Linked DNA regions of Neodiprion lecontei. The protein of the gene in region 1 interacts with the protein of each later gene in a pairwise test. Links are inferred from orthologs where the notes say so. Each region holds a gene or a part of one and is shown in the gene's direction. Other genes may lie near its edges.

Region 1 (6,541 bases):
TTATCCATTGAAGTAGGATACCAGTAGCCTTTTCTCATCTTCCCACGATTTTTACTATCGAGCTGACTGAGACGTTGCGTGGGATGCTGGCGCCAAGAGAGAGACAGACGACTCTCTCTGTACACACAGAGGCTAGAGCGTACAGCAAACTAGGATTTGTCTATTCCCATAAATCACGGAATTTCACCATGTAACACCTTGAACTGCACAAACTTCTTACGTGATCCCGTGTGGAAAAGGGTGAATTTTTTCACATCCGCTTACTGCAACTCAGTCGACCTGTTCATAAATGAAACTTTTCAATTGGCTCACCGAATGAAGAAAAATCGTCTCGTTAAATGCACGCGATGAATCTAGTTTTAACGAATGTCGTGCATATATACTTCGGCTGCAGTTGCCGAAGCACGGATTGTTCGCAAAATCATAATTTAATTCACAAACTGATTATACTAAATTCAAACCTGCGGTGTGTCGTCCACAATTGACTTCCCACGTTTAATCACGCTCCAGATATTTACTGGCACTGAATAATCTCACCTTTGGCTTCTGACTCTAAAAAGTTTGACCATTGAGTGGAAAATAATGTGTTATGGAAACTTGGCACCGCTCGGCATCTACCGGACTGTATTTTATTCAGATACACGGGATCGGGTCACCTGTAGCTTCTGCAGTAGCTCAAGCAGTCAAGCTACTGATCGATTCCTTAGATTTTTTCCTAAGATTCCTTTAATACTGTTATATTAATCTTGAAAATTGGTCAAGTGGCACGAGTGCGATGCTGCGGGTTTCAATCGTCGTTGAAATCAACAATTTAGTTGACACTAACTAAACATTTTGCTAGACCAGCATATCTTGAATGCCGCCCGTGACCACGTATTTAGTTAATTCAATGACTTGTTTCTATTAGTGAAGCCACGAATAAGGTATTTTGCCAGACCCGATGTCCATTGCTAAGATGTTAGTGCCAGAGTTTGACTCGGTCAATATTGATCTAGGAATATTACTCACGTGTGTATAATTTTCAGTTGCAGGAATTTGCTTCAATTAACGAAATTAATACATTATCGGAATGATTGATTGAATTGGACACCGCTGAGAGCAATTCTAACAATGAATTACATGATCTTACGAAGTCACACAAATTGTTGAAATAAAAAATTGGAGAGCTACAAAATCGACGAAAGTTAAATATTTTTTGTGACAACATAGAGTAAAGAATAGGATAAACAGAGAAAGTCTGAGTGTTTTGACCTGAATCTTTCTTTGAATGGTATACATGGAGAGAAAAATTTTATCTAGAGTCTATCGCAACGTGAGACTTTTTTCGGAAAGAGTCGCGAGATTTTAAACAAACATCATTTGAAATATTCGATTCCAGAAGTTTCTGTCAGAAATGTTTTCACGTAAAAACATGTCGCAATTTCTACACTTTCATCGTTTATGATTCCAACTTTAACGGAAGCATAAACTGAATAACTTCATTAAATCGCCAATAACAATTGAAGATATCCCAATAAACCAAAATGAATTGAATAGAATTGAGTAAGTCCGAAAACCGAATTAACTCGATTTGAAGCGAATTGAAAATACTTACATATGTGCGAATTCTTTTGAATTTGTTTTAATTTCTTTTTTCCAATTCATGCCAATTCTGTTTTTGCAGTACTCAATTCGATTTGATTTACTGTGATATCTAATTGCAGGTTTTGCTATCTTCAAACCTAGCTTTTCGTTAATATTGGCACAATAATTTCGTCGCAAGTATAACGTAATGCACGAGTTAAAAATTATTATACAGCTACAGTCGCTGGACAGATATTTCTCTTAAGACTTATTTAATGCGTTTCATTGGGAAGAGCTTCTGGTCCCGTTATAAAGTTGAAGAGGGCGAAGAGCAGCACTTATTTTAACTTATTGTTCGTACTCATTCAGTTGGAGCAATCATGATTAGCTGCTCTACCCTTTTCTAGCTCGACTAACAGACTCAATCAAGAAAGCTTTGTTTTAATTTCATTAATACGCTTCAGTTAGTTTATACTAGACGCGACCAAAATACTTGAATCGTTGATTCTCTCTACGATTCTAGCCCAGTAAACGATCCTTCGCGCTCTTTACACAGACCACGGCGGAAAAATTCCGACAATGGCGATCCGTTCTGGGTCAGCGATTCAATCGGGCTTATTTAGCGTTTTATTACACAGAATAATGCAAAAATTAACGACGTCAGTTCTCTAGGATGGTTATAAAGTTCAAATGCAACGTGCAAGTTTTGTATTTTCTGACATATTGGGACACGGTCATTTTCTTAATTCAAATTTGAATGGAAAAGTCGAATTACGGAAAGTTTATGCTACTTAATAGGATAGAAAGGCTGCAAGTGACTGTTGCGGACTAGGGACTTTTATATAAGCCTAGTTGGTAAATTTGAGACACAGGAGTGAGAAGCGACGCTCATAATTATATATAACCCACTCAATAAATACTTATTCTAAAATACTAAACTATGTGTTATCACTAATATACGGCAGTACCCGCACTTGAAAATTTGAAAAAAACAGATAAAAGCTGTTTTTTCTTCGCTCCATAGTTATTTTGTTTGTGGAATTCAAGCAAAAAAATGTGAGACTTACAGCCATTTTAAATTTCCTTTTCAATTTACTGCTCTTCCAAAATTTTCCGCAATACGTAAACGCAATTCATAGCGCCCTACGCCAGTCGGCTGTTTTCAGCATATTAATTCTTCAAAAATAACAAATTTAAAATCAAATCTCAGTAAAGTATGAGTTTTATTTTCCAAATTGTAAATACTCAACATGAAACACGATGTTTGATCGCTCCAACAACGCTCAGTTTGAAGTGTTCCAATTTTGAAAATTTAAGCACGGTCCTGACTGCCGACAGCGCCATCTATGAGCCGTTGCGCCTGCGTGTTGCTGACTGAAGTTTGTCGTCGATGATCAGAGAGAGATCGCAGGGTGAGCAGAAAGCGAAAAAGAGGGAGGTAGAAACTAAAGACTAGAGAGTGTACTAGAGAGCCTGGCAACGTTACGCTGTGATTCATTATCGGTTTCACACAACGGAGAATTGGAAGTAACTTGAAAGGTAATTCGATAATTTATTTACGGAGCTTCTTGCCTCGGTCAAAACGTTTGTAACAAAACATTCGCTGGGCATTGTTTATCGCCTTGAAGTTGGAAAAGTCGTTGCACGGGAAATCGGCTAATGGACGAATATTCGTTGCCCGCGCATGTTGTTATGATTTATAATTATTCGTCGATTTTCAACACCAGACATGAGCTGCTTTGCATTAAACCCTCCAGGAACGTGTCTTCTCCGCATATTATGACCGGATACGCCCGCCACTAACGTGCCGTCGAATTTTATTGGGTTTATAACCCTTATCCAAAACCTTGGGTCAACGGCGAACCTCATTCTCGCAAGGTTGTTGCCGTGCGCGCCAATATCTTATCCCTGTGGTCGACACTCGCTACCTGACGTTTCCTGCTCGACGTTCTCATCCGTAAAAATTTTACTCGCTGCGGAGAAAGACCGAATATTCTTTTTCGAAATTACACGAAATCAAACGCGTCATTGTCCATGCAGCATTTTTCGTATTCACTTCGTGCGTCGGAATTTTCATAACGTTGTATGACTCAGATTTACAAGTTATAAAAATAAACATACCCTCATACTTTTCGCGGAAATCGATTTTATTTTTCAGTTTTTTTCTACATCAAAAATCTCTGTAATGCTATGCGTAAGCATTTTTCAGTTCAATGCGTTGAAAGAAAATGTTTACGTCCATGTCCCAAACTCAATTCACTCTGTGGTAAACGGACTGAATGACATTGAAATGTAGTTTATACACAGATCGATAACATGGACTAGGAGTTGTTCAAAGACAAAGAAACTTGTACACATAACAATAATAATAGAAGAAGGTCGATTCTTGTACCTGAAATATTGACGTAACTGAACTTATGTTTGTCTTGTTTTTAATCACAGATGCCGAACATAAAGCTGCAGAGTTCGGATGGCGAAGTATTCGACGTGGATGTTGAAATTGCGAAATGTTCAGTCACGATAAAAACCATGCTGGAGGACTTGGGAATGGATGAAGATGAAGATGAAATTGTTCCCCTACCAAATGTTAACTCTGCTATCCTGAGAAAGGTCATTCAATGGGCTACGTATCACAAAGATGATCCACCACCACCTGAAGATGATGAAAACAAGGAGAAGCGAACTGACGACATCAGCTCTTGGGATGCTGATTTTTTGAAGGTCAATTTTGCATTCAATCAAAATGCTAATATTATAATTAATAAGAGACACATTCCTTTCATTTGAAAATTTTCTTTGACAATTTTTCACTCTTAAACATCTTTGAAACGTAGTCTGTGCAAGATTCATTATAGTTTTAACGACAGCTACTAATTTGCTTCGTTTTATTTATTTACAGGTTGATCAAGGAACCTTATTCGAACTGATTTTGGCAGCAAATTACTTGGACATCAAAGGACTTCTAGATGTAACGTGCAAGACTGTGGCAAACATGATAAAGGGAAAAACACCAGAAGAAATCCGTAAGACGTTCAATATAAAGAACGATTTTACAGCTTCAGAAGAGGAGCAGGTTCGCAAGGAGAATGAATGGTGCGAAGAGAAGTAGAAAGAATCCGAGGAGGGACGAAAGAAATGCTTTCTAAATCATCTGTAACTGTAGGTTTATCGCGTGTTAAATCTGAAGATGTCTTTCGCAAACTCAAATTTCAAGCTTGTCGCAACAGAAAAACTCACCCTCTGAAAAATTTAGCAATAATGGAATATTCCTGTTCCAGCCGAGTTTCTCCATTTGCGTACAATATCCCTAATTCGAAATTAGAAATACCAGCAACAATTGCTTGGAGAAATAAATTTTTGCAGCTGATATGAATATTTTCTAGGTATGCTGGCTACGTTAATAGAAAGATTTACATTCTGGATACAATTTCTTTCGGTCTGTTTTCACTCTCTAATGGAAAACATGATTTTTCGGTTTAACGATCCATACCACGAAAGTATTAATTTAACAATAGCACGATTAATTTCTGTGTATAATTAACCAAGTATAACTTCAGTCTATTTAAATATCAATATCTTCGAAATCTGTTATATCTGCATCTCATCTGTGAAGCTTTGATCTTCTTCCTTTAGTCCAATCTCTTGTGAATACGTGTATCGAATCATTTGATAAAATATGTGATTAACAATGTGACTGAACTTCGAAATAATAATAAATTAGCTATCTTTTTGTTCGGAATGTAAAATATCAGTTAAACGAATTCGGCAATGCAGAATTAGTTTTTTTTTCCTCATTCAAATCTGCTGTACTTCATTCTTCTTAATTTAATTACTTATAAAATATATCAACCCTTAATGTAAACATTAGATCCTATAACAAGAAGAAAAGGGTAATATTAATATGCGTAAATAATAAAATTCATTTTTCGTAAAACAAATAATTGAAAACTTTTTTCTCAAATTCGGGATCACTGATTAAGGTGATGATAGCTTGTTTCTGTTTCCCTCATGTTACGGATTTGAAGGAATGAACGTATGCGCGCACCATTTTCTACAAAAACAAACAAGGGTGGAAAGAACTAAAATTGAATTGTAGGAAATAAATGTCTGCTGTTATTTCCTTTTCGTACATCAGCAGCCCAGCCTAAAATAATAGAAATTGAATTATCCATACGAAAGGTAAGCATTAAATATTGATCTTAGATAATGCATTGATTGGGTGCCGTTCGTATTATGCGAATTACGAATGTATTTAAATTCAAGTAGAAATGAATGACGGTTGTAATCCTAACCTCAAATCAAAGTATCGTGAAAAAATACTTCCACAATTGTCAGTAATCAACCACTTGTTGATCTGGTGATTATATTCAATCAATTCAGTGAGTAGATGAAGTGATTATGTAATAATTATTCTGATAATAATTAATTATTCCGATAGTTACCTTCATTTCGAATTTCTCTTTTGCATGAACTCTGCGACAAGAGGAACCGAATTATTATAACTGCCGTATGAGCACGCAAATGACAGTGTCAGTATGTTGAACACCATCTGTGACTGGAGCTCGCCTGAAGACATAGCGATAGAGTATCATAACTCGGAGACAATTAAGAAGATCAGTTATTCCGAGCTTAGCGATGCAAAAGTAAAGATTGAAGCTGTGTTAGCAGGTGCTGTTAAAAACCATCAATTTGTGGGGATAAATTGTGACGTAAAAGCTCCAAGCATCCCTGCTCTGATCTTGGGGTAATTGTTACGACGAATAAAAAAAGTGGCATTCAGTGAGATGTCCTTTTGCAGTAAACACGATGAAATACCGATACTTCATATTGAATAATTCTTTTTTTTTTTCAGAATCCTATCTCAAGGATCTGCATTTGTGAATTTGCCATCGACAGGTGTAAGAGAAATTTCCTCTAGGATTGGACTATCATTTGCATTTTCTCAATCAGTACTCTCTGGGGCAAATTCCCTATGCGA
Region 2 (6,906 bases), about 23 Mb from region 1:
TTGATTACCTGTAGGTAGCAATATGTTTTTGTACCACATATAGTCAGACAGCTGATTGCATAATAATTTCAAATATACTTCGTTTAGTCATTTTAGTGATGCTGTAGGGCTATTGGTACATCAACATATTGTAAAATCGATTAGAAACATCCTGTATGCTTATCAGCATTCGACTAAACGAGCTAAATCTGCAGTCGATCAATACTTGCTGGCTGATAGAAAATTTAATATTATTCAAGATAGAGCAGGCAATTGGATTACGTTACGTTATGCCAGATTTTGAAATTTCAACGATAAAGCAATTGTGTTTATATAATTGAACCTCAGATAAATCCACCGCTTAAACGACGGCATTTGTAAATTCAAACGTAGATTATTATATCAGTATAGCTAAACAAAATTCGTTCTCGCGAATGCCGAGTAAGTGATGGTTACCTGTCGCGGTGCTCATTCCACTTTCAACAACGTGCAAAATTTCTAACTTCGACTAACCCATGGTAAAATAGATAAATTGCAAAAAAATCATTCGACTGACAATGAAAGTCAAGCACCGTTGCGATCGCGAATGAGCCTATCCATGCAGCTAAGAAATCGAAGATTGTGTAGCAATTTTTACCGCCACGCCACGTAACAGACATAGGAGTTCCAGGGAAATACCCGTAACCTAACACGTGCAAACTCACCAACGTTGCCGAATATTGGAGAAGTTACTCGGATGTCTCTGCCCAGCTCTGGAAAGAAACAAATAAGAAAACTCGAATTAATTCAAGCAGACTGGATTTTCGGTTCTGAAATTATTTATATTTTTGTTGTCTACTTCCATATATATTCACTGCATGTTAAACAGGGACAGAAATTCGGTTCCAAACATACCACATTTAATTATTAAGCAATTATTAAGATAAGTTAATCCTTACCTCCTCTGGGTTGCTCCTCACTTTACTGCATGTAGGAGTTCTCGTAGTTGAATCGTCAAGCGACGCACTTTTGACACTGCAATCAAAATGTAACCGATTATTACTCACACAATAAAGCTAAATCATATTTCGTATCACTAAATACTGTCTGTTAAAACAATTTTGTTTTCCACGATTATATTTCGGTGGTTTGTGATTTGATAATAACTGAACTGCAGAAACGAATGATAATAGAAGGTTAATCAAATTTTTACATGGTAATAAAGGATTACAGTATCGTCGGACTCCAGGAAAACAATCGGATAAAGATGGAATCGGTGACTCGTAATGGGTAAAAATACTCACCGATAAACACGAGCCGCCGCGCTACACATTGTAGCAGTATTTCCATTCGCTAAAGTTCCGAATTTTAGTTTTTTATGCACAAAAAACAACGGCAGTACGACCTACGCACTAATAAACGCGTTACAATTACATTTTATAAACGTAAAAGGTTGACGTTACTAACGTTATCGTAACGAAACATTGGGAAAAAATCACTTTTTTCTTATTTTTATAATGAGTTTGAAGGAAGTGAGATTGCAAAATGTTGGTATTTTTTATTTCATTACGGTTCACTGAATTTCAAGCACTTCCAAAATCTCAGAATAACGGAATTTCCGCACCACGAATGCTTACCGGTAACGTTACTAACTTCAACATGATACGCGATCCGCGATCCGAAATCCGAGAAACGATCTCGACAGCCACGTTTCGCAACGTCCGTTTTATCAGAACATGGGAAAAATTACCGCAACGGGAGATTATCGTAGCCTTGTCTCGTCAGAAAACGCTTGTGACTTGTCAAAAGTCTGCACGAAAGCACTCTCAATCTGTCCAATAACGTATCTAGAAAACTTTGGAAAGTTATATAAATCACGAATCCACCCCGTAACAACACTTGATCATTCTCACTTTCTGTACTGTAGTACGTATGTTCGTTGGTTGCCTCAACCGACAGGATAAACTCGGTAACAATACAAAACTACGCATTTACCGGTCATCAGCAAACAAACAAAAAAAAATGACGATCGCTAGAAGCTGAAGTTGCACAAAACAATGGAAAGTCGATACACAAAGCGCACCACGCACAAAACTCACGTACAATGTTCATAGGCTGTTTTCATTCAATTAACTCATTTTTTCTTCGAGCCAGACGCTGCCATTCGTGTATTATTCACAAATAAGTTTGGTGGGAACACACTGACCAAATAACATGATCAAGTTTGCCTGAACGGCGTGATTTAAATTCCGAACTGATCGCGCGCGTGGTTTCACTCCGGCTGCTCGGATACGACTGGCACCGATTGGCACAGAGCGATCGGATTTTAAGAGAATTTTCGTATCACACGGAGTCAGACGTAAACTTGGATTTGATGACGACTTTCGACCGAACAGAATATGTGTGAAAATACATTTATAATGAGGAGAAGAAATCGCAAAACATTCTCTTTTCTGAATGTACGAACATAAGATTTAAACTAATTCTAAAATAATGGGCGCTTTGCTTCTGCGTTAATTTTTTAACACAAAACGATACCAAGTGATTTCATTGGCCTATTCTATTAAATCCGATCGATGATATCACTTATTGTCGATCTGTGTCAGGAAATTGATGTAAAAGAAAAGGCCCCCTTTGTTATTGGTAAAGCAAAACAACAAATATGTATGTATACAATTGTTAACGGAAGAATTTAACCCTTGGAAAATTTTCGTGACGATTACTCGGTAGGTAAGTGGTCTTGCCGCCGTACGAAGCCGTGTCAGCGATCCGGTAACTTCTTCATCGGCCGCTCGCGAACAATGCTCACGAGAGACTCCCAGAGTGCCAGCATGTAATACAAGTTCGAGTCGCCATCTATGATCGAGTGTGGATAATTAGTACTAGCTATTTGGTAAATAACCAAGGAATTCAGCGCTGCAGCCAACAAAGAAGTCCGAGTCCACGTAGCCGCGATACGGTGCATAGTTATTTGCGATTTGTTATGTTGGTAAAATTCCGTACATCGACTTCCTGTGCATGGCGAACACCCGAGCAGCGTTGTCCGCGGCTGCGAGTAGTCCAAGAGTGTTGTCGAGTGGGTGTTAAACGTTCGCAGAGCCGTATTGAATCCGTTCAATGTTAAATCGTGAGTTATAGGTAATTAGTTTATCGAGGATACAGTGTGAACCGATAATGATTAACATGGAAACAGACAAAGTAATCGAGGACCCGAACACGTATAGTCAGGTGCGTATCAACCGACCCGTATTTTCCTCCCGAAACAAACGGCCATCTTATGTTTCTTAACCGCGGAGGGAATAGGAAACCGAAACCTGCCTCCCCCTCACTATTTTCACACCATTTTACACAGCGTTTCGCTATATTTAACCTAACTATTTTTTCCCCCGCGTTAACCGCTCGTCCTATCAAATAATCAGTTCCGGAGGTTATGAGACGTCGCTCCGATTCAACGGGATGCATCATCGTCAATTTCCCTCAGCTATCGTGCATACAAGACGTGCACACAAACACACAGTCACACACACACACACACACACACTTGGTCATTTCTATCCCCACATAGGACGCATAAACCAATATCAGTACTAATCCAAGCGGAGTGGACTCGTTAAAAATACAGAACAAACCGACCAAAGTAACGAAGAAAAGAACATTCTTAAAGGCATATTTTATTTTTCTTGCCGTGAATGAAAATATGTTCAAAATAATATTTGAGGTACCAATTCGTAAACTTAGATACCCTATTTTCCGAAATATCACTATTTGACGTTTCTTCCGTGAATATCAAAATTGGTTAATCAAATAACACGAAAAAAAATAATAACAATGTTTTTCATGTTGTACAGAAGAATATGGCAATGATAATAATTAATCTATTCTTTCGACGACCCGCGCAAATTATTACGTACTTTAGGAGATAATTAATTAGTTGTTGATATTACTTTTCACTTTCTTTGTAGGACGAATATTTTCATCAACAATTCATTCTGAACTACATCCGACGAAATACCGTTACGATTTAAATATTTTTCTCTCAACAAGTCGAAAATCATCGTAATAAAGTACCACAAGAAAAATAATAAATGTTTTCGCCATTTTCCTTCCGTACAGATTATTTCCGATTCAAGCGTAAGTCAAAAACAAAGAATCAACGACCTTTGTTGATTACTGCATAGAAAATGAATTTAATCGTCAGTAAACCTCTGCAATATTCTAAAAACAAAGAAACACATTCATCAGTAATTTCCGTCCAGTTATTTTTCTTCACAAACTCTACAAAAGTCACAAAGGTTTCAATCCGTGAGAATGTCGCATTTCGGAAGTACCTCGAACAAGTAACTGTACAAATTCAGCGTTCAATGGGGGAGGTGAGCACCAGCGATGAGAAAGCACAGGGGTCAAAGGGCGCGGGGTCTCCGCATAACACGAAACTGTGTATCGTTTGGCCCCCGTGTCGGTTAGGCGTATATTTATACATATGTACGTAATACGCTACATAGACGTATGTACAAACACAATGTATTACGGTCTCCTCGACGCGTCACCGTTATACCGTACAGTTTACATGTCTCTTATACCTGTGTGCGTATTCGCTTTCTCTCCCTTTCCCTCCTTTTCCCTCCGCTTCTTGAAACAAAGGAAAAGAAGAGGAAGAGGAAGAACGAGGTTCTCCGTCCCGTTTCGTTTCGTTGCCAACGTTGCGCTGGCTTGCTCCGAGAAGAGGGTCAAAGGTGAATACGCAACCGGGGCGAAAAATCCCCTCCCCCATCCCTTCTGTGCCGTTGATCGAATCCACCCCCTCTTTCTTCCTTTCTCCTGCAAAGCGTCGCCACAGCCCCCGAGAGCGGGTTACTACATAATCAATGTTTTAGTCCCCCCCCTTTCACGACCCAACCCGAGCCACCCTCTCGGCAGTCAGTCAGTTCCACTGTTTGTCGGTGTATGTACGTCATGCCGTGCCACGGCCCTCACACCCTTGCAAGTACGTGTGTATGATATGCGTACACAGGGGCGTAAGTAGGCCAGAAATTCGACACCCGATCCGTCGAGCGAACCCTGATCAACGTACGTGATATAACAATGAGAGTCTCAATATCAAAATAACAAAGGTAAAATCGCGGTGGAGTTTAAGAGATTTTTGATTGAATCGACGGTCGTTTCATTTCTATCTGGCTGAAGTTTGTAAAGTTATTGCAATGTTGTGTCTTTAGAAAAAGTCGTTATTTTGCAACTTTAGGATGACTTGATATTTAAGCAACTGTTGATAAAGCATGAACGAACTCTGATTTTGTAAATTCAACTTCTCCAGTTATTCTTAAGGTGCAAAATGGTAATTTTTGTTTCAATCTTCCGATACGGTAACGTTGCTAACCGCAGCGACGTTTATCTTTCTTCAATTTTTTTTATCGCATCGCAAAGGGATGCCGGGTGTGTTTCAATCAAGTTCAAATCGATTGAATTCAGAAAGCATTGCCCTGGTTGCTAAAGCCGGCACGATTACTCTCACCTTAGGATGTGTATTATGTACGGTACGTGTCAAAGTGTTGCAGGTACAATTACTTGATTAATTAATTCATTAATTTCCCTCCTACGTCGTAAAGCCTGTGTTCGCATAATACGTATGTGTATTACGCCACGCGGGTGTATAATTTGTACAACGTGTAATTAATTCTTCGTCACGTTAGACGGCCAGTGCCGCGAAATTTGTTCCACGAAACAGAATCAGGTCTGCTTTGCGTTGGCGGGCTACAGAGTTCGTAGTTTTCCCTGTTGATTAATTATGGACCTTCCTTAACATATATATATTGTTTTGTTTGAAAATTTTCCGCAGGCCTTGACAAGCTTCTGTCTTCCGTGTACTTGACTTGCTTTAATTAACGTGGATCGATAACTAGAAGATCGAAAACAAAGATTACAGTAAGAATAGGAAAAAGAAAAAGAATATTATACGGACGATTCTTACCGCAGCCACGAAATCCAACCTAATCGTTATGTAGCATTAGTTGCAGCAGTCACGGATAGGTATAGCCGATTAATTTCGTTCCAGCAAATGAGAGAGAGTCGATTCCGATTCATGTTTTCGACCAACCGCAGCACAAAACTCGATTTTCTCAATCTAGGCTCGGTTTTGATCGGGCATTGACAAATACGATCCGTACTTACGAAATAATAATCACTAAGAAAAAAATAAAAGAATGACGAAGCTTTGTACGACAAAAGATAATTAAAACCAAAGTATAACGAAACAGTGACCAAACTTCGTATACAAAAGAGCGTATGTACATATTGTACATATAATGAGATTGAGAATTCGGCTCACGCGTAAATCCTATCACTTTGTGTTACGATCCGGTATACACGTTGCTCAGGAACAGTATACCTAGAAACTTTTGACGAACTCTCAAGGTTGCGATTGAATCGCGGTACCTACACCCGAAAGCGACGGATTATTAAGCCCGGAGATGGTCAAGCGAAGGACACGTAAGGTGGTGCTGACTGCTCACCTATTCATCCCGGTGGTTCTTTTTTTTTTTCACCTTTTTACCATACATGTACAACTCTGATTGGTGAAGGTCCTGCGGAAATTTTTTTCTTTTTATTTTTTCTTTTTTTTTCTTATCCATACACTGGGTTACGTAGGTATAAACCCGTCCTTTCATGGTTGCGAATTACGCGCTTCAGGGACACGACGCATCGAAAATAATGATTGTGTACAAAATATTGATACGTGAATATGTAGGTACGGAGGAAGCCTTGAACTCACACATCCGCATCACGGGTCTTTGGTTACTTCCGATTTCCGGTTAAGTACGCGAGGTTATTGAACAACGCGTGTAAAAGAAGCTTGAACCTGCATGTATCGAAATTCGGATCTCTCTGATCTTGCTCCGGTATTTAGAGAGAATTGATACCAGATTGAAGTTTAGTACCTAACGTTGATGTAGG
Region 3 (8,986 bases), on another chromosome or scaffold:
TCAGCCTGCTAGGATCAGTCCTAAAAAAGCCCTGGGACATCTTCGTGAACAAGGTGTGTCAGAAATGCAGAATATTGATCAAGATTTACTCTGTTTTTTCTATTCTTTAGGTTCAAGAACTAACCGTACATGGTATAAATGCTGCAATAGAAGCTGTGCCATCTGCAATGCTAGATTCGTCAGAGGTCTTTGATTTGGATGTTTCCCAAGGAGATGAAAGCGTCGATATTGCTGAAATTTTTTCATTGAAACCGATCAGAACTAAAGAGGGAATGCATCGACTGGCCGACGTCATCTTGCATGCAGTTGAAAAGAGATATTTATGAAATTCTGTTCTCTAGTTATACTAAGATATTAGATACCATAAATATCTATCCTCCAAACTCATTAGACAGTATCTAAGGCGCCTAGCTAGCTTTCAAATTACATTATTTTATAGAGAGAATAGAATTGACGAGGAACGATCATTTGATGGATGGGGACGAATTACTTTCTGCTGGTATATTATGAAGGAAATTGAACAATGACGAAGCACTAGTATACCTGGGATCAGTAATAGAGAAATTTAGAAAAATACTGGGAAAGTATATACAATATCATTATAGATAATATAATTTGAAGAAAATTAGTCCAGCTTTATCTTTTATACATTATTTTTATTATAAACCTTAGTGTTAAATAAAATATAGACATTCTGTACTCAACTATAATATTTATCTTTGAAACTTTAGATATTAACACGACTCATTTACCACGTGTTTTGAGGACATGTATGAGCGCAGAAAAATTTGAAATCTGATCACAGTTTTAATCATAAATTACAATAGTATTTTTATTCGGTTAAAATGAAAATTTAAGATTTACTATTATAATATATTGAATATTTAACCGAATAAAATGTGCTTGTATAGCCAAAAAATATATATATGTATATATATACTTACATATAACATTAATAACAAAATTTTGTGTCTATCATAACTTATACAAAATAAAGCTCAAAAACCATGATAGGCAAATTTAGTCATGTAGTTACACTCATGTTTACAGAGCATTTTCTATTATGAATGGTAAATTCACAATACATTTCTAATGGCATATTCCACACAAGGGGAATAAAATACGCCTTGATATTGCATTGCTTGGTTCAACATTCATCAATAGTGCAACATTCATTCAGTCTCATGCACTTGTTATCAATCGTACATATAAGGTTTCTTAGCGTACAAAGCAAATACAATTTGCCTCATCTTGCATACCTGATTCATTGAGTTGGTTGAAAATCGTGTCCCGCTCTGTGACTACGCAGTTTGCCGATGTTTGTCATGGATCCCTATTTCGCTGGCATCGAATACAGTCGTGTCGTCTTCGTCTTCGTCATCCAATGGCAATGGCCGCATTTCAACATCTTGCCTGTGCGCAAGGACACCGTACTTTCGAACCATTTGAGTACGATTTTTGCTTAACCTTTGAAGATAGAAAATACCGGATTAGCAATCTCAAAAATTACATTAAAATTGTTTTCTTTTCGCTTACAGCCCACCTTACGCAACGTAGGATAATATAGGCGATCACGAGTACAGTCAGACCCATGAAAACAGAAATGCCACGCCACAACGCACCTGTGTTCACAGACAAATTTGGGCCAAGTATTTGAGGCTGAAAGAATTATATACCAGAATATAGGCGAGCTGTTTGCAAATACTGAAACGTATTTTATGGTACATACAACGACTAGAGCGATACCTGTATCGTCGTTTGTGGGGCGGTGACGTTCAAATCAAGATTTGCCTCCTTTTTGACTTGATCAGTTAGTAAGGTTACGGTTCGATTATCTTTGGATTTAATGCCGCTATCACTATCTTCGACATTTTGGATAGGGGAATTTTTCTCCTGTGATGAGTTCGTAAGTTTTGAACTACTAGAGTCTGACAATTTCGAATCATCAGTGCTTTTAAAAGATCGTACTGGAACATGTTTCGACGGGTTGCCAGCCCGCGATTCAGGAATCGACTTTAACAAATTGCGTTTTGTAATAATCAAATTATCATCACAATTTGTTATCGTTATACACAAGCAATAACACGTGATTACTATGAATTTCAAATTTCGACCGGCAACACGCTTCATTCTCTTCTGACATTTAGAATGGAATCAGAAGAAAAAAATTTCACACGATATTTGGTATTCGTCAGCACTCGTTGACTGGCGTTGACCGCCGTGACAGGTTCGAGCTTTGATACAGACAGAACTTTGACAATTCTCGAGGCGCGTAACAACGATTCAATTCCATCATTCCTTATATTACATGCCGTAAATACATGTAAAGATTATTGCTAAAACGCGAACAATCAAATAAATATCTTCGTCATTCCTAAACTATTATTGTTGAAATTTTATATCCTCCTAAGACAGAATTTGACGGCTGATCGTTGCTATAAATATTCGTACATACATTGTGAAAAAAATATTTCAAATTCTTCACGGTGGCCATCTTGATTTCGTGAGAAGCGTTTGAATTCGTACGTCAAGTATTCTACACGAATTGTACATACCCGTGGTACAAACTTTTTTTTTTACAGATTAATCCAAGCTTCTAGCTGATATAGACTATCGCGTGACAAATATTTATACGGAAACGTATTATCCATCCAAATGTCAAATTCGAAAAGTATGTTTCGATATTCAAAAGCTCTTTGAGGAATATCATATTTGTGACCTTGCTGAATGACGTCACGAGTCGGGAAAGTCAATTTGTTTTTTTCAAACACATTAGATAACTCGAATTAGTTTAACGTAAATAATTCAGACATATTTTTCTGCAGTTTCATTGTCGATTTTCTGAGCATTCGCTTTGATCTAATTACGTTGTGTTAGCAGTAGGCATCGATTACCTTCGGTAGGGAGTCCGTATCATAATTTTAATCGTTACTACATATATTGTGGCAAAATGGAACAGACGCCACATACTCTAGATACCTGCAGGCCACGGTGTACATATTATACATAGGTATATGGATAGGTAAATGCGAAATGATGTTAACGTGTGTACGATATTCGCTTGTGCGTGCGAAACGTATGTGAAGGTTAATAACCAATCGGAACAGGCTAATACGTAGTTGTGTGTATCTCGAAGGAGAAACGCGACAGTTGGTCAAAGGGATCGAACGCAATAGTAATATCGTTGTAAATATTCAAAAGCGGGATCGTGCGGAGGTGAATTTCTACTAATCATCCGTAATTTGGAAATGGTGCGTAGTCAGCGAGTGGCTGGCTCCGATTCGCAATACGGAACGGCTGACAAGTCGTTGGATCTGATTGTGAATTTTCAAGAGTCAAAAACAACAAGCGAAGGCGAAGAAGGGCAGCTGTCATCAGGGACGGCAAACAGCTGTTCCTCTTGGAAAAGTGGTAATCGTACGACAGAAATGGCGCAAGAAGACAACAGTCCCTGCTGCTGGAACAATTTACCCAGCGTCATTTTATTCGAGATATTTTCCTACTTACCTCACGACGAAAAGATAAAAACATCACAAGTAAGCTCGCTGCCAACTTAAAACCGCAACCCGTACTTACGGTCACCCAGATACATAGATACTTTCACTTTCTATTCCCATTGTATACAAGTATTTTTTATTTTATTTACACTTTGCATAACGTACTCGAGTTTCATTTATGCAACTGATAATTATATCGAAAATTGCGGAAATATTGGGAGAATTTATTTTTTAAACTTGGCACCACCAATTTCTTGACAGAAAAAAATCTGCAGCCAACGTCGGCTATAATTATCCAAAATAAATTGACTTTAAACCGACAACTTGGTCTATATTTATTATTTGTTTTATTATTATTTTTATCATTATTATTATTATTTTCAGGTATGCAGAAATTGGAGGTACGCCCTTTTTCACCCTTGCTTTTGGAAGAAAATTACATTCACTCTGGACGTTAGGGACGAGGATAACATTCCGAGAGCTCGGTGTGTTTTTATATAAGCCGTATCCTAGTACCTGAAAGTATATGTATCTTGTCGCAACAGTAAGATTGAATTTTTTCCCATTTTTAGATTCTTGGCCAACTATTTTTCACACAGCGTTCGAGAAGTTATAATAAAATGTGACACCACTAGTTATTTTGTTGACGAGACATCCAGACTTCTTGCTAAATTAGGCACCAATGTACATCTTTGTAAACTTTACTTAGAGCCGACCAGCTGTACTTTTGATTGGCCAATGAGACTATTGATCAACAGAGATGAAGGGTACGTACTTAATCTTGTTGATTTTTTATTATTTCGTACAAAATTCAGTAACAGATTGACGTCTCCTTTCAGACGGCTAATCTGCACACCCGTGTTAGAACCTCTTTTAGAAATTGTCAAAAGAACAATATCCCTCCAAGCCCTGAGTCTGGGATGTGTGGAGGACCTGACCGCCAATTCGGGCGTAATTTTGGACGCGCTTCAATACCACCATGCAAAAAGTTTGACTCACTTGAGTCTAGCATCCATAAAAGAGGACCCTGATGGCTATATTCTGCTGGAATTGGACACTTTTATATTCAGGTCATTTGCAAGGCTCTCAATACTGACCATAGACTATGACAATGTCAGCGACACTTTGCTCCAGGCACTAGACAATGGTTTGATGGAACGACTAGTGATCCACGTGCATGGCCTCGACGACGATCATCCTGGCACCACAAATAACGCCTGGATGTTATTCGTTAACAAAAAGTAATCAGAAGTTCAATATTACCCGTATGCATGACTGCTCTTGTCTCGAAATAATTGTCATTTTGTTTATTCCGCTTATAGCCCACGCTGCGAGCTTCGTCTCAATATGCTGCACTCCTACGATGCGGTCATTGTTCTAGATTCAGACATTCTGAGACCAGCGATGCCGCTAGCAGAACTCAAGGTACTTTTTTGTGAGGCCGTTAACGTCACAGCTTTGCACCAACTGTCCAGCTGGTACTCGAAAACTCTAAGGTCTGTTGTCTGGATCGATTGTATAGATCTGAAACCATCCCTGCCAGCTACTTACGAGTCGAACAGGTAAGATTCACATCTACAGCTCGATGCCAGTTTTCATTCAGTCTTCTTAGTTTACCTGACCGTTATATACTGTTTAAAATAGACCTGACCCCTTGGTGCTCATTGCTTGGACCTGCACGAAACTAATGGAGCTGGTATTTCTTGGATATAAGTATTTCCAAGACGATCTATTAGCCATCACTCGTCTTCGAGGATCGACGTTGAAACGACTTGAATTCGCAGAGCGGGATATTTTGATCGAATCATGTTCAGCCAAAGCTACAAAGAATGTAAGTGTACAGCGTTCGACGTGAATTGATTTTTCATCATAAATTGAATTCTCTGTTGTCTCAAATTTTCAGCTTCTCAACTGTGATCGCCCAATGCTTAGAGTACATGTTGGTCTTATATTTGCTATAATCTGACTAATCGAAAATGAAACGGTTTTTCCAGGAAATTAGTGAAATAATGGGTGGGTTTTGGCAGCCATTGAGTGACGCGGAGTTACCGCCTGTCATTATGGATCCTCTAACTGGCAATAGCATTGAAGTTATAATGCCGATGGTTCTAAGAGATCAGAAGTAAGATTCCGATGAGAAATTCATAAACCATGTTTTCTACCACACCATCTATCAACAGAAGCCATTTCTGGGGACTACACATCTCAGAAACACAGGCACTAAGTCATATCCTTTATTTTTCTATCGATTTATTTTTAAGAAAGGCATACGATTCTCAAAAATCTATGATCTGGATGCGTTTACATGTTTGACAAATTTTTTCAAATTCTCAAATCCCAAGACCCGATAATCTAAATTTGACACTTTGTTTGTAACTCATCTAGTATGCCTAACTGCAGAATATGTACTTCAAAGAAGTAACGAGTCCTCTGAAAAATATTTATCAGGTATAAATTGTATTATGGAATTTTGAAAATATCTCATATAGCCATGTCAGACGTACTCCAAGGTTATTAATCATATAATAAATCTATCTCTGCCAGATTAACAAAATTTTTTGGCAACGAGCAGTAATTCTTGGAGTTTCTGTACAACAGTTATAAATCTGTAATTTGATAATAACCTATTTATAATTGCAAAATCGACGACGCTATTGTTTTTGAAAATTGATCGTTATTGCAAACACAAACGCATCCTAGATTAAATTTCGTAGGGAGGATATTAAAATGAGAAGATCTTGCGTCCGTAATGTCAACTGCGAGTATGATGAAATGGAATATTTTTAAAATAAATTACATTGAGAATTGTTATTACTTAACACCTTGGACAACAAGGCTTCGATACAGCCTCTTGTGACTCGGACCCATTACACAGGGTAACTAATTAAACGTAAAATCTTAAAATTTAATGTTAAACTCGCACTGACCTTACGGAATGTAAATAAACCGAAGGGGAAAAAATCTTCCAGAGCAGGCTCCGATATTCCATTTATAGTTAGAGGCGTTAATAATACTTTTCCATTAAACTGGGAATGTAGTATACTGCTTAATAATATAATAACAAAAAAAAATGAAAAAAATAAACAAAGAACGCAAGGCCAACCGTAAGTAATTTATAATTTTACGAAATACGGAATATTTTAATGAGAACTTGAAACTTTAAAACGAGGTAAACATCGTTTGGTAAAAAAATCAAATAGCTATCCGAGGTTATTTTTAATACCAAGACCAATCGGATTGGCTTTTCTCACGAACAGCTAAGCATTCGTGAAAGAGCTAAGAGCGCCGTAATGCCAAGAATGTTGATATCCAAGTTATTTATGTATTTCAATAATTGATAATCTAAATAGAGGCAAGGACAAAAGTATGAAATATAAAGCCTGAAAAATTATCTTCAACTATCTTTTTGCGATATAAACTTAGCAAGTTAGCATCGTAAATTAGGCATTCTTTGCGCTGCAATGTTCCGGAGATACAACAATCTTTTTTTCTACCGCGCTCTTAGCAGTCGTTACCAGCTAATATTGTTAATGAAAATTAGCTGTCAATATTGTAACTTTAAAATGTCGAATCTTAAATATTTATAAGGTGCAATACGTATCTATTTCTGTCGTGCGATTCAAGCGAGATTTTGAATGTTTACAAAGAAATACCCGTTGAACGAATAGATACAAAACAAGGAGGAGAAAAAAAACAACGCCAATCATATGTATACCGTTTATTCCGAGGAGCTATTTTACTTTTCGAATCCTTGTACGATTATTTAATTGCATCAATTGTTTATTATTCTTATAACTACATACATCTTTTTTTCATTTTATATGTGAATCTTCTACATCTCACGTATTAAACGTCGCGTACGTTAGTGTTATCTATAAAAAAAAAAAATCAATGTATGCTTGTTTGTTTGGAAGGAGTAATCGAGATCGACGCAGCAAATGTAAAATGAAATAGAATATTACCTTCTATTATCATACATACACATGTAATAGTTCAGCTGTTAAAATGGGCCTCAATATGTACCTGAGTCGCGTTAAGAATAATTTTCAATATGAAAATTTTGCTCGCGACGCCCAACAAGAATAATTCTAAGTCCGTTAAGCGTATGCGCGTGGCAAAATTAATCCTCAGATTGATTTCTGCTGCGTTTGATTTTGGCACCCGCATGCTCCTAATACCTCGTTGCTACACTTACCTCGAATATGAAAATGCAGAGAATGAAGCAACGAGATTTAGCAGTTTGATTCTGATCACGTATATGAGAAATAAGAAAAAAGAGTACTAAAGTAAAATAAATAAAATAATTATAAAGTGTGATGTTAAGTATAGAGTGGAGTAAAAATTGTTGTTTGTTAACCGTTGGTGCTGTATTATTTTTGTTAAATTTGATTCGTTAATTACTTTTTAAATTTAACAACCGAAGTCATAACAACAAGTGTATTTAACGGACGCGGCGTCTAAGAGAAAGAATTTAAAAAAAGTCTTGTAAAGTTGTTTAAGAACGGAACGAATGATATAAAAAATAAGAAACAAATAATAAGATTTAAAAAAAATATGCAGGGATACCCGCGCGTAGGTGAATAACGTGATATAAGCACCGTCTCTATTATATATTGTACAAAACTTCCAGAAGCCTGCACGGTCTTTTATGTAATAGTAAAATATTAAACTATTACTAACTCGAGACAAAATCATATAAGACTGAGCCTACAAACATAAGTAAAAGACCGTGCTGAAATAAGCTCATATTCATAGAACGTGACTGAGAAAACAAACGAAAAAGTTACTGTTTTGCTTTCAAGTTTATACAAAGCTAGTATCAAAAGCACAAACAATAATATTTTATCATTTTAACTTTATACATGAGATTGAGAGAAACAAAATTCATCCAATTCTATTCATACTCCCAAATTGGATTGGTTTGAGTTAGTAATGAGAACATATACATATATGAAGCACAAGATGAGATGATATTATTTGAAAAATTTTACTTCAACCGTTCTGTGTCTGTCATAATATATAGTTATCATTTTATGAATATGTGTTATGAGGGACGGTGCACAAGGTAGTTTAGATCTGAATATGCCCAATTCCAGCTCACTCGAATGTGATCTCCTGAATAATAAACTGTACAAACAAAAAAAAAAAAACAAAAAAGAAACAAGCCTGCCCATATCAAAAATGGTGTAAAATAGAAATCACAAATTGTGTAGAAAAAATTGCAAAACATGCGAAGATCTATTTTTTGAAAAAACTACTAATATGTATATATTTTTACTGCGGCAGGCCTTAGCAAGATATCTCTACTTGTACATAATGTCAAGATGACAACTGTGATCATTATTAATGATGAAGAACAATAAGAAAAGGAGGAAAATATTGGAAGTTTGTTGAAAAAGGAAACAAAGATTAAACCAAAAAAAAGCAGGTGTCGAGTGAGCTACTATTTGAACGTAAAATTGGGCTGTTATTTTCAACATCTGTGATAC
Region 4 (8,895 bases), on another chromosome or scaffold:
GTGAATGGAAACTCGCGTTTGAATTATTTGCTATAAAATTCACAATGTATGAAATATACTGAATAAAAGTTGGGGTATAAATCAACTTCCTGGTTTCATAAAACTCATTTTAGTTCGTACAGCAACAGCGAATGCTGATAGTCGTTATAATAGAAACGAGCAATGCCCTGTTTTTTATTCCTTTCTTTTTTGTTGTCATGACTCGGTGCAGAGTTTCAACATGAGAAGTCTGTATGACTAATTCTTCCTCAAACTCTGTATAAGAAGAAAAAAGACTTTCTTTGTTCTTTGCGAAACACATTCGATGGACGATCAAATTAGTAACTTGTTAATATTTGATTAATCTCGCTGAATATCGGAAATTTTTACATTTACATTTCTGATTATTGTCAATTACTGATGATCAATTAACTGAATTGAATTTCAGAAATTTCAGACATTCTTACCGCTAACTTTTTTCTGGTACTCATAAATTTTGTCCGTTTCTATCGCCGGTTACATTTAAACCAACGATAAGTTGCAGATTTATGCTCGATATTCTGGTTGTTTGGTAGTCTGTTCTTATTCCAGCCAACGTATTAACTCCGAAATTTTACTCTCGCGATGCGGAGCCATGCGATTCTCCTGAAATCAGTCAAACAGTGGCCAAAATCACCGAGGAAGAGCAAAGAGTCCCCAAGACGGTCCACCGTTGGCCCCTTCTTACCAGCCATACGTGAGTTATCAAATCTTCAAAACAGACAACAAGAATTAATGAAATAAAATGAAAAAAATGATAGGTGTTGAATATTTGTTTGTTACCGCCCCGGAGTTACATTACATTAAATAGTATAGGTATACAGTACACGTAGGTTGTGAAAGTCGGTATTAGGTATGTCCTACAATTAGCACCGAAAGCTGTAATTGCAACTTTCTCAAAAGTAAATTAAAAACCTATTTAATAGTTAACATATTAATCTTTCTCATGCGCGGCACGAACTGCTGCGCTTTCCCTATTTGATATCGGATCCAGTATTTTCCGCTTATTTTCTTCTCATTTCTACTGTTCACCCGACTAATCTTGAACTTCGAGTTTACGGTTCGGTGCACTGAACTTTCTTTCCAGATCTAAACGCGTCGCGGTAACATTTGTCGCCCTACATATTTTCGCCTCGAATACCGTTGTATGAACTCAACGAATATCTCAAGTTGCGAATGAATCGGATATTACTCCAGATTGGTACGCTAAATATCTGAATAAAAATAAATTTACGCCTTTGCAAAATATAACAATAATTCTTTCGAAGAGAGAGTAAAATCCTTGAAGCAGATTGATCTCCGATTCTTATTCTTGTAGTTGTTAATTAATTTTTAGTAAATTTTACTTTCAATTTCTTACTGTAAATTAAATCACCGTCTTTTGTATCATATACGCAGGTATGTCAAAGCATGCGTAGCCAATTTAGATATTGCCTGCCACTCCCGCCCATTATACATATAGTACGTACGCTGTACTATATCTGTACAAATCTACTTTCTTGTGTGCCTGTAACAGATAATAGTCCTCGATTACCACTATTATTATCGTTGATAAAATAGCTATTTTGTTCCAGGTATGGCTGGTGGCACGATAGGGGAATACAACCGACAGACCCACGCTTCAACTTTCATAAGAAGACATCAGACATGGTCAGCTACCAAATGAGGATCTACGCCATAGACAGGAAGTTGAAGGGTCTCGGTTATTAACCTACGCGAAAGAGTCGGAGCCCCTATTGTGGGAAAACCTAACATTGTATAATATGATAGTGCGGTTAGATTTCTAAAAAAGTCTGCATACTGTAAAATTTCAATTTTCCCGTACTGACAAGTATGCTTATAGTTTGCACGACAAAAATTACATACCTAGAACTGCAAATAGATCGGTCGTAGTGTTTTCACGTAATATCTGATTTTCGGCAAGGCTAATCCTCAACTCAACGTTAATTGCGCCTTGATTATTAAGTCAATTGGCATCCTTTGACTGGACGTAAGCTACGTTCTAACCGAGGGTACGATCATTTACTTTGGAATAGATTTTATTTATAAGCATATTGGCCACAGGCGCGATTAAATTTGTTCAATGTGTACAAAGTGCGATACGTAGTCCAGAATTTATCTGATAACGTATGCTTCGTCTCCAATGTTTGAGAAAAACTTCAATTCTATAGTGGATGGAAGTTATAATATATCTTGCGAGTAGTTTATTAGACTGTCTTTATTACAGTATTACATAATACGAATGTCACGAATATCTTGTACATTAGTTTTTATTTTTGTTGATTATATACTTATTTTAGAAACGAATAAAAATAGTAGTATAGTCAGACACGCAGTGATAACGGGAATAATAAACTTCATTTCTTCACCTGCACGAGTTGCGTACATTATCTTCATTGATGTGACTCGTACGAATAATATTTTCAATTCAAAATTACGCAAAGCGCAATTGCTTCTTCACTGCCTCCAAGAAGGCGCATTTTATTATAATAAGACCTAATGTGGATATATCTTTATAATTTATTATCGATCTCCTCGGTATAAAGTATAGGTATAAAAATATTTACTGAGCATTATATTCACGATAAATTATTCCTCACCCGACTATTTATCTATACACATGTTTGTATTTTTTTCTTGATAACGAGGCGGACAGTAATAGATTTCGTATTTCGAGGTGGACAGTAATAGATCGAGTGGAATATCCCTGTGAATTTGAAAAAAATTTCATGGTATTATTATTTTTGTAGCAATAATTCACTGAAGTACGGATTTCTCAGATTAAAAATTTTAGCCAGATTGGAAAATTCGCGCAAAAACTAAAGTGATATACTTGATGACATGCGTTAGTGGTGAGAAATTTTAGTTGCCAAAAGCTCGTCTCGTACATTTTTTCACTCAATTACAATTACAGTGCCACGTTTAGTATGAATTATCTCCGTTTAATCGCTACTACGCGTAGCGGTTGAGCAACCGCGTCGTAGCCAGTGGAGTTAACGCACTACAAAACGACGATATAACAGGCGTACGTGGCACATTTCCGTTTTACGTACGAGTGTGGAGCGTGAAAGGGTTTCGAAGATTTAAATTTTGGCGGGATAGCGGGACCACCAATCGATACTTGCAAGTCGATACAGTGAAGTCGATGGAGTTAAATGAACCAATAGAATTGCCGGATTTGTAGTGACTCCATATTTCTCGACGAATCTCGAACTAAACCGGTCAATCGGAGGCCGCCATTGGCGATTGTTTTATTTTCTGAGTCCGTGTCGCGATAGAAAAAAAAGTTAACGTAGAAGCTTGTCAATATTCCGCCAAAAATGAATCCCGGCGTGGAAGAGGACACGCGACTTCCCGAGGATTTAGTGGATGATATCGATGAAATATCGCCGCCGGAAAGGTAAGCGAACGCTCATAAATACTGTCGGTAATTTCAGGAATTTCTTCAACCTTAAATTATTCCAATTCCGGCTGTCCGACATTACCTGTTGCTTTGGAAGCGCAGGTGCCAGTCTTCCGCGCAGGTGAGGTTAAGAAATCCTTGCTTGGATTTTCGACCTCAAATCACAACAAACCTTCATACTGACCGGGTCTATATTCTCAAAGTCGTTTACCGCGGTTAACCGACAAAACCGAGGCTGCAATGGACCAGAACAGTTGGTTCCACAGGTTGTTTTTCCCTCCAAAAATACGCACTGCACTTGGGCCCTTCTCCCTTTATCGTGATTTATTTTTACGGTGAAAAGTGGCTACACCTATACCTAGTTTTTGGGCAGATGTTTAGATTCCGTGTTCAGAGAAGCAACAAGTGACCATCTTGAAACTGATCCCTCGTGTAGTCGAGCTTAGCTTTTAGCCACGAAAAAATACGGATACACATTTTTCACCCTATAGTTACACACGTTCATCTTCTTCGTATTTGCCGAAAACTTGAGTCGGCGTCAGAAATCCTTTATTGAGAAAATTTACATTTTTCTGTCAACTTAGGCTACTGTGGTTTTGTATATCAGTTTCCCCATTTTGTCTTCTACCTTGTTATCTGATACTCGATTTCTTTGTGTATGAATATTCTCTGTCTGCAGTCCTAGACAAAATCCTATCATATCACAAATAATACTTATCACCCAGTCATTCAATTTTTTTCTATCTTCAGTTATTGTTTTAATTTATTTCATATCGTTTTAAAATCATCAAAAAGCATTGTTCTTAAAATTAACAATTTCAAGCTGGCTTCTCATTCTTACAGAGTATCCATATTCAACGAATATGAAAGTATGCATTAACGTTCAACGTTGCAAAAGTAAAAAAATCATGGAGACTAACTTCAAGTGAAAAAAAATATTTCGACGTTCTGTGCTCAATTGAAGAACAGATTTTATGCCTAGCCTATATTTAGGAAAGTTAGAGACAACTATTTACCGTTTTGATTAAATTGATTCATGGTACTTACAGTATTAAAAATGCTCATTGTATTCATTGGGCACTTGCTTTTTTTATTGTCTCTGAAATTGATGCATATTTCATCTACAATCTTTAGCAAGCGTATACGGTTGGATGATGGCTCTAACAACAATCTCAACAGCACGTTAAATAGTGCAACAAAAAACAATACACGCTGGACTTGTGCAGGAGATACAAGTCTGGTAGAGCCAGAGATTCTGGAAGATATGGGTGTCAGTATGTTGGAAGACGAAGAAATGAGTGGCGGATCAGTGAAAAAATTGAAAACACACGAGTGCACCATCTCACCAACTGGTTCTCAGAACAGGAGAACGCAATCTACAGAGAATGGAGATATTGTTTACGGAAGTCACAGTACCATGTATCGAGATTCAAGTTTTGAGACTGTTCATTTAGAGAGGTAGGTAATATCCCTTATGAAGGTAATTTTTACATTTTCGATCTGTGAACAACCTTAGCAGAATTGTGATCAAAGCCCATTTGTACATTATGTGGTAGAACTTAGGGATCCAATAATAGGAATGAGATATCTCGCTTGTGACTCATTCTGTTTTGAATTCTTAGCTACTGTTAGAAGAGAACTCATTTCATATTATGCAATTTTGCAAATTACAGTTTCCATACCACAGTAATGAAGTAATAGAATTCATGAACTCAGTTTGATTTATTCTAATCAAGGTTGAAGGTAGTAACGTTATCGTAACGAAACATTGGGGAAGTAATCACTATTTTCTTAATTTTACAATGATTTTGAAGGAACTAAGATTTCGAATCATGAGTGTTTTTATTTTGTTATTGTTTATTAAATTTCAGACAATTCCAAAGCTGTCAAATTTGATGCTATTTGATGTTGTTTTTTCTCAGCATCAAACGTTACGATAATGTTACTAACTTCAATATGATTAATTCTTGAGACGAATGTTCATTTTCACGGCTTTGTAATGATTGGTTATTAATAAATTTAATAACTTGTTCACAGATCAGAGAGATCACAAGATCCATTTGAGTTGGAGGATGCTTCTGTATATTTGTCTATCGGCAATGAGTCTGGTTATTCGTCAAGAGTTGAAACAGAAACATTTGGAGACATGAAACAAAGTTTCAGCAAAGATGAATTGGGAGACATGGTAGATAAGAACGGATTGGATCAATTTTATTTGTACAGACGAAAGAAAAGACCGTCTATTACTGGTGAAGATAAATTCAACAAACTCTCTGACGAAATGATTCTGATGATCTTAAGGTGGCTTCCGAAAAAATGCTTGGTAACCACCATCTGAATTTTCTCTACAACGTGCATTTCTGTTTCTATTTTTACGTATTTAAATATTTGTATAATCTGTCTTCAGGTGCGTTCAATGCTTGTTTGCAAACGATGGTGTCAGATTGCCCGTGACGAGGCATTGTGGAGTCGTTTAGACCTTGGTGGTAAAGTTTTGGGAGAAGGAACCCTGGGACATATCCTGCCACGAGGTGTTCAAACATTGAGACTGGCTCAAGCAGAAATCGCAGACCCAGTATTTCAGCCAAGCAGTGAAACTCTGAACGAAAATTACGTCAGTAAGCTGCAATACCTAGATTTGTCAATGTCCGTTATATCGCCTGATGGATTGGCAGCTTTGTTATCCGTGTGTAAATTTTTGAAAAAATTATCTCTCGAGAAATGTACACTGAATAGACTTTGCTGTACTGCTATAAGCAAAAATCAAGACTTGGAAGTTCTAAATTTAACCATGTGTGAAGGAATTGATATAAAATGTCTCCAGGATGTTCTAAAATTGTCAAGGTGAGGTACTTGCTTCCCAATTTATACTTGTTATTTTTTATTTGAAAGCTGTAATCTCAGTCTTATTTTCATTATTGTTACCTGTATAACATTTCTTGTTCATTTTAGATTGAATGCTCTTAACGTTGCTTGGTGTGGCTTGGATTTAGAATGTATGACATTACTTTGTCGACAATTACCAAGCACCATTACCCGGCTGAATATTGCCGGATGTCGGAAAACCATGACAGATGATAGTAAGTATATAAATATATAAATATAAATATACATAATAATATAAATATGTATAATAATAGGCTATTAAATACTATGACCCTCGACGAAGTATTTAAAAGTTTGTTATTTATTTATTGACTTATTTTTGCAGATGTCAAAGAGTTGGTAAAATGCTGCCCGCGTATCATCGAACTCGATATGAGTGATTGTACAATGCTTACAATCAATGCCACCCAAAGTCTATTAAGCCTCACAAAGTTAGAACACTTAGCCCTAAGTCGCTGCTACAGTATTCCTCCTACCACTTATTTAAGACTAGCTCACATGCCCTGCCTAATGTACCTGGACGTCTTTGGATTAATGGCCGAACCTACTTTAGATACACTGCAAGCAAGTTGCGGAAATACTGAAATAAACAAGTTCCTATACAGTTCAGTCGCCAGACCGACAGTTGGTGTTAGGCGAACGAGTATTTGGGGTCTTAGAGTTAGAGATTAGGAAGCTAGAAGAATTGAAAAAAATCTCATTTAGTGATTTACGAAAAACCAGAGAATTCGACTAGTAGTAGGTATAGTTGATTACAAATCGCGTTTTGTCGCAGTAACTGAGAATAAATCGGACTTAATCTCTCGTAAATACGAGTAAACGATTTCTTGAAAACTGAAGTAATAATAATAAAGTAAAAAGTTCATTAAGGTATGTATTTCGAAAGTAGTGCCAGAAAGCGGTAATAGAATTGATTTTCATTTTTGTAAATAAATTCTCATACAAGACGATTAACACAATAACATAATAATAATAATAATAATAATAATAATAATGACAATAATGTTGTTAATGATCAGTCAATTATCTGCCAAATGTGCTTACTTGTTGAATATCAATTTTTTTTTTGTATAAAATCGCGAAATTCAGCACTGTAAAAAACCTGTAATACTTTGAAAGGTAATGATTATTTTTATAAATGATATTAGGAGAATTTTTCTTTCTTATTTTTATGTCACACAGTCCACACATTGTAATCTGCATAACGTGAATTAATGAATTTTACAATGCTTCTCCCGACATGAGTGATGTGAAGCGAGTTTGATTTCTTGTGATTTTTTTTTTTGGAAACCCATGATACTAGATGTAAGAATGTATGTATACTATTTTTAAGATGGATAGAAAGGAAAGTCCTTTGATACTAAAGATAATTCGGTATTTTCCTTTCTTGCATCAATATAGTACCGAATTTTCCTGGAAATCCGGGCTTACTGGATGATTATATTATTGACGACTATGTGAATTAATTATTATTATGTATATTCTATAAAAATGAATCATTATGGTTAATCTGAGTTCAATTCTCTTTTGCTTAGTTTTCAGCAATACCCAACTCACTTTAAAGTTATTTTGTTGCAAGTGTGTAACTATCAATAATCAGAGGAGTTATATTTTGGACAATTTATTAAAGAATCAAAGATACAACTGCAGAGATTGCAAAACAATACCTTGGTTACTGAAACGTGGAATCCGTTCATTCAATTTATATATATATATATAAACATTGAAATATTTGATTATAATTTATTACACAAGATACATATCAATAGGGTCTTAACGAATGATCAATTATTGCGTCAGAAGGATTTAATCTTGTAAAACGGAGTCACATGCGCAATTGACATCTAATTACTTTGTGTGGGGGGTTTGGACCAGTCCACATTTAAAATAAGGTGATCGTAACCATGTCCATGTAATTGAACAATAGCTTTAGCAGCATCAGCTCGGAATTTATAATGAACATAAGCAAATCCTTTACACGAATTAGTTAGCTTTTCCTTAGCAAGGTACAGTTTTTGAATTGGTCCAAAAGGCTTAACAAGCTCTTCCAAATCGGCGTCGGAAGTGCTTTCAGAGAGGTTGGAAATTCGGATCGCTGTTGTATCGTCACGCTTCGTCATCTGCATCGAATCTCCACGTCTATTACCGCCATCTCGCATATTGGGTGGTACGTATCTACTACCCTGAGGTTTATTTAGATCAGACATTGCTCCAGGTGCTCCTGGCACTCCAGCTGGTTTCTTATCATCTGGAACTTTACCTGGAGTAAAACATTTCAAGATTATCAGTAAATTAGAAAGATGGACTGAGAAAAGCTTAATTCTCTTTTGGTACCGAACACAATTACTGGTTGAAGGTAAAAATATTTTAACAATTGAATGGTCGGTTCATCTGAGGAATAATAAAATGTTCAAACTTTAAGGACGCAGTTCTAACATTTGGAAAAATGTTTCCTTTGAGACAAAAACTTCCTGTTACAGTATAAAATCTCTCAGTATTTCGTCTTACTTTTTCGAAATTTTACTAATACCTATAAATCTATTCTAATCGCAGAACTTGTATAGCGAGGGCTCCTGAATATTATAAAG

What was found.
Region 2: the proteins of S-phase kinase-associated protein 1 (region 1) and beta-TrCP interact in a two-hybrid assay, tested with the Drosophila melanogaster proteins (3 studies listed by BioGRID). The link is inferred for Neodiprion lecontei from reciprocal best matches to the Drosophila melanogaster genes SkpA and slmb.
Region 3: the proteins of S-phase kinase-associated protein 1 (region 1) and F-box only protein 33 interact in a two-hybrid assay, tested with the Drosophila melanogaster proteins (2 studies listed by BioGRID). The link is inferred for Neodiprion lecontei from reciprocal best matches to the Drosophila melanogaster genes SkpA and CG4911.
Region 4: the proteins of S-phase kinase-associated protein 1 (region 1) and S-phase kinase-associated protein 2 interact in a two-hybrid assay, tested with the Drosophila melanogaster proteins (2 studies listed by BioGRID). The link is inferred for Neodiprion lecontei from reciprocal best matches to the Drosophila melanogaster genes SkpA and Skp2.

What each region holds. Positions count from the first base shown.
Region 1 is NC_060265.1:8,167,563-8,174,103, forward strand, and holds S-phase kinase-associated protein 1, read left to right. Parts: upstream 1-2,952; 5' UTR 2,953-3,102; intron 3,103-4,005; coding exon 4,006-4,284; intron 4,285-4,462; coding exon 4,463-4,672; 3' UTR 4,673-4,691; downstream 4,692-6,541. Other genes in the region: beta-alanine-activating enzyme, read left to right, coding at 6,099-6,307, 6,416-6,541.
Region 2 is NC_060265.1:30,823,797-30,830,702, forward strand, and holds the start of beta-TrCP, read left to right. Parts: upstream 1-2,965; 5' UTR 2,966-3,132; coding exon 3,133-3,186; intron 3,187-6,906. Other genes in the region: acylpyruvase FAHD1, mitochondrial, read right to left, coding at 918-993, 1,263-1,291.
Region 3 is NC_060264.1:3,977,188-3,986,173, reverse strand, and holds the start of F-box only protein 33, read left to right. Parts: upstream 1-2,636; 5' UTR 2,637-3,248; coding exon 3,249-3,536; intron 3,537-3,881; coding exon 3,882-3,982; intron 3,983-4,069; coding exon 4,070-4,264; intron 4,265-4,336; coding exon 4,337-4,738; intron 4,739-4,819; coding exon 4,820-5,059; intron 5,060-5,141; coding exon 5,142-5,328; intron 5,329-5,491; coding exon 5,492-5,623; 3' UTR 5,624-8,986. Other genes in the region: uncharacterized protein LOC124292600, read left to right, coding at 1-53, 111-326; uncharacterized protein LOC107227470, read right to left, coding at 1,302-1,467, 1,544-1,659, 1,747-2,130.
Region 4 is NC_060263.1:36,416,878-36,425,772, forward strand, and holds S-phase kinase-associated protein 2, read left to right. Parts: upstream 1-3,199; 5' UTR 3,200-3,338; coding exon 3,339-3,418; intron 3,419-3,569; exon of another isoform or gene 3,570-3,661; coding exon of another isoform or gene 3,662-3,687; intron 3,688-4,555; coding exon 4,556-4,879; intron 4,880-5,458; coding exon 5,459-5,744; intron 5,745-5,828; coding exon 5,829-6,265; intron 6,266-6,373; coding exon 6,374-6,501; intron 6,502-6,632; coding exon 6,633-6,979; 3' UTR 6,980-7,261; downstream 7,262-8,895. Other genes in the region: uncharacterized protein LOC124294177, read left to right, coding at 571-715, 1,593-1,728; eukaryotic translation initiation factor 3 subunit G, read right to left, coding at 8,152-8,567.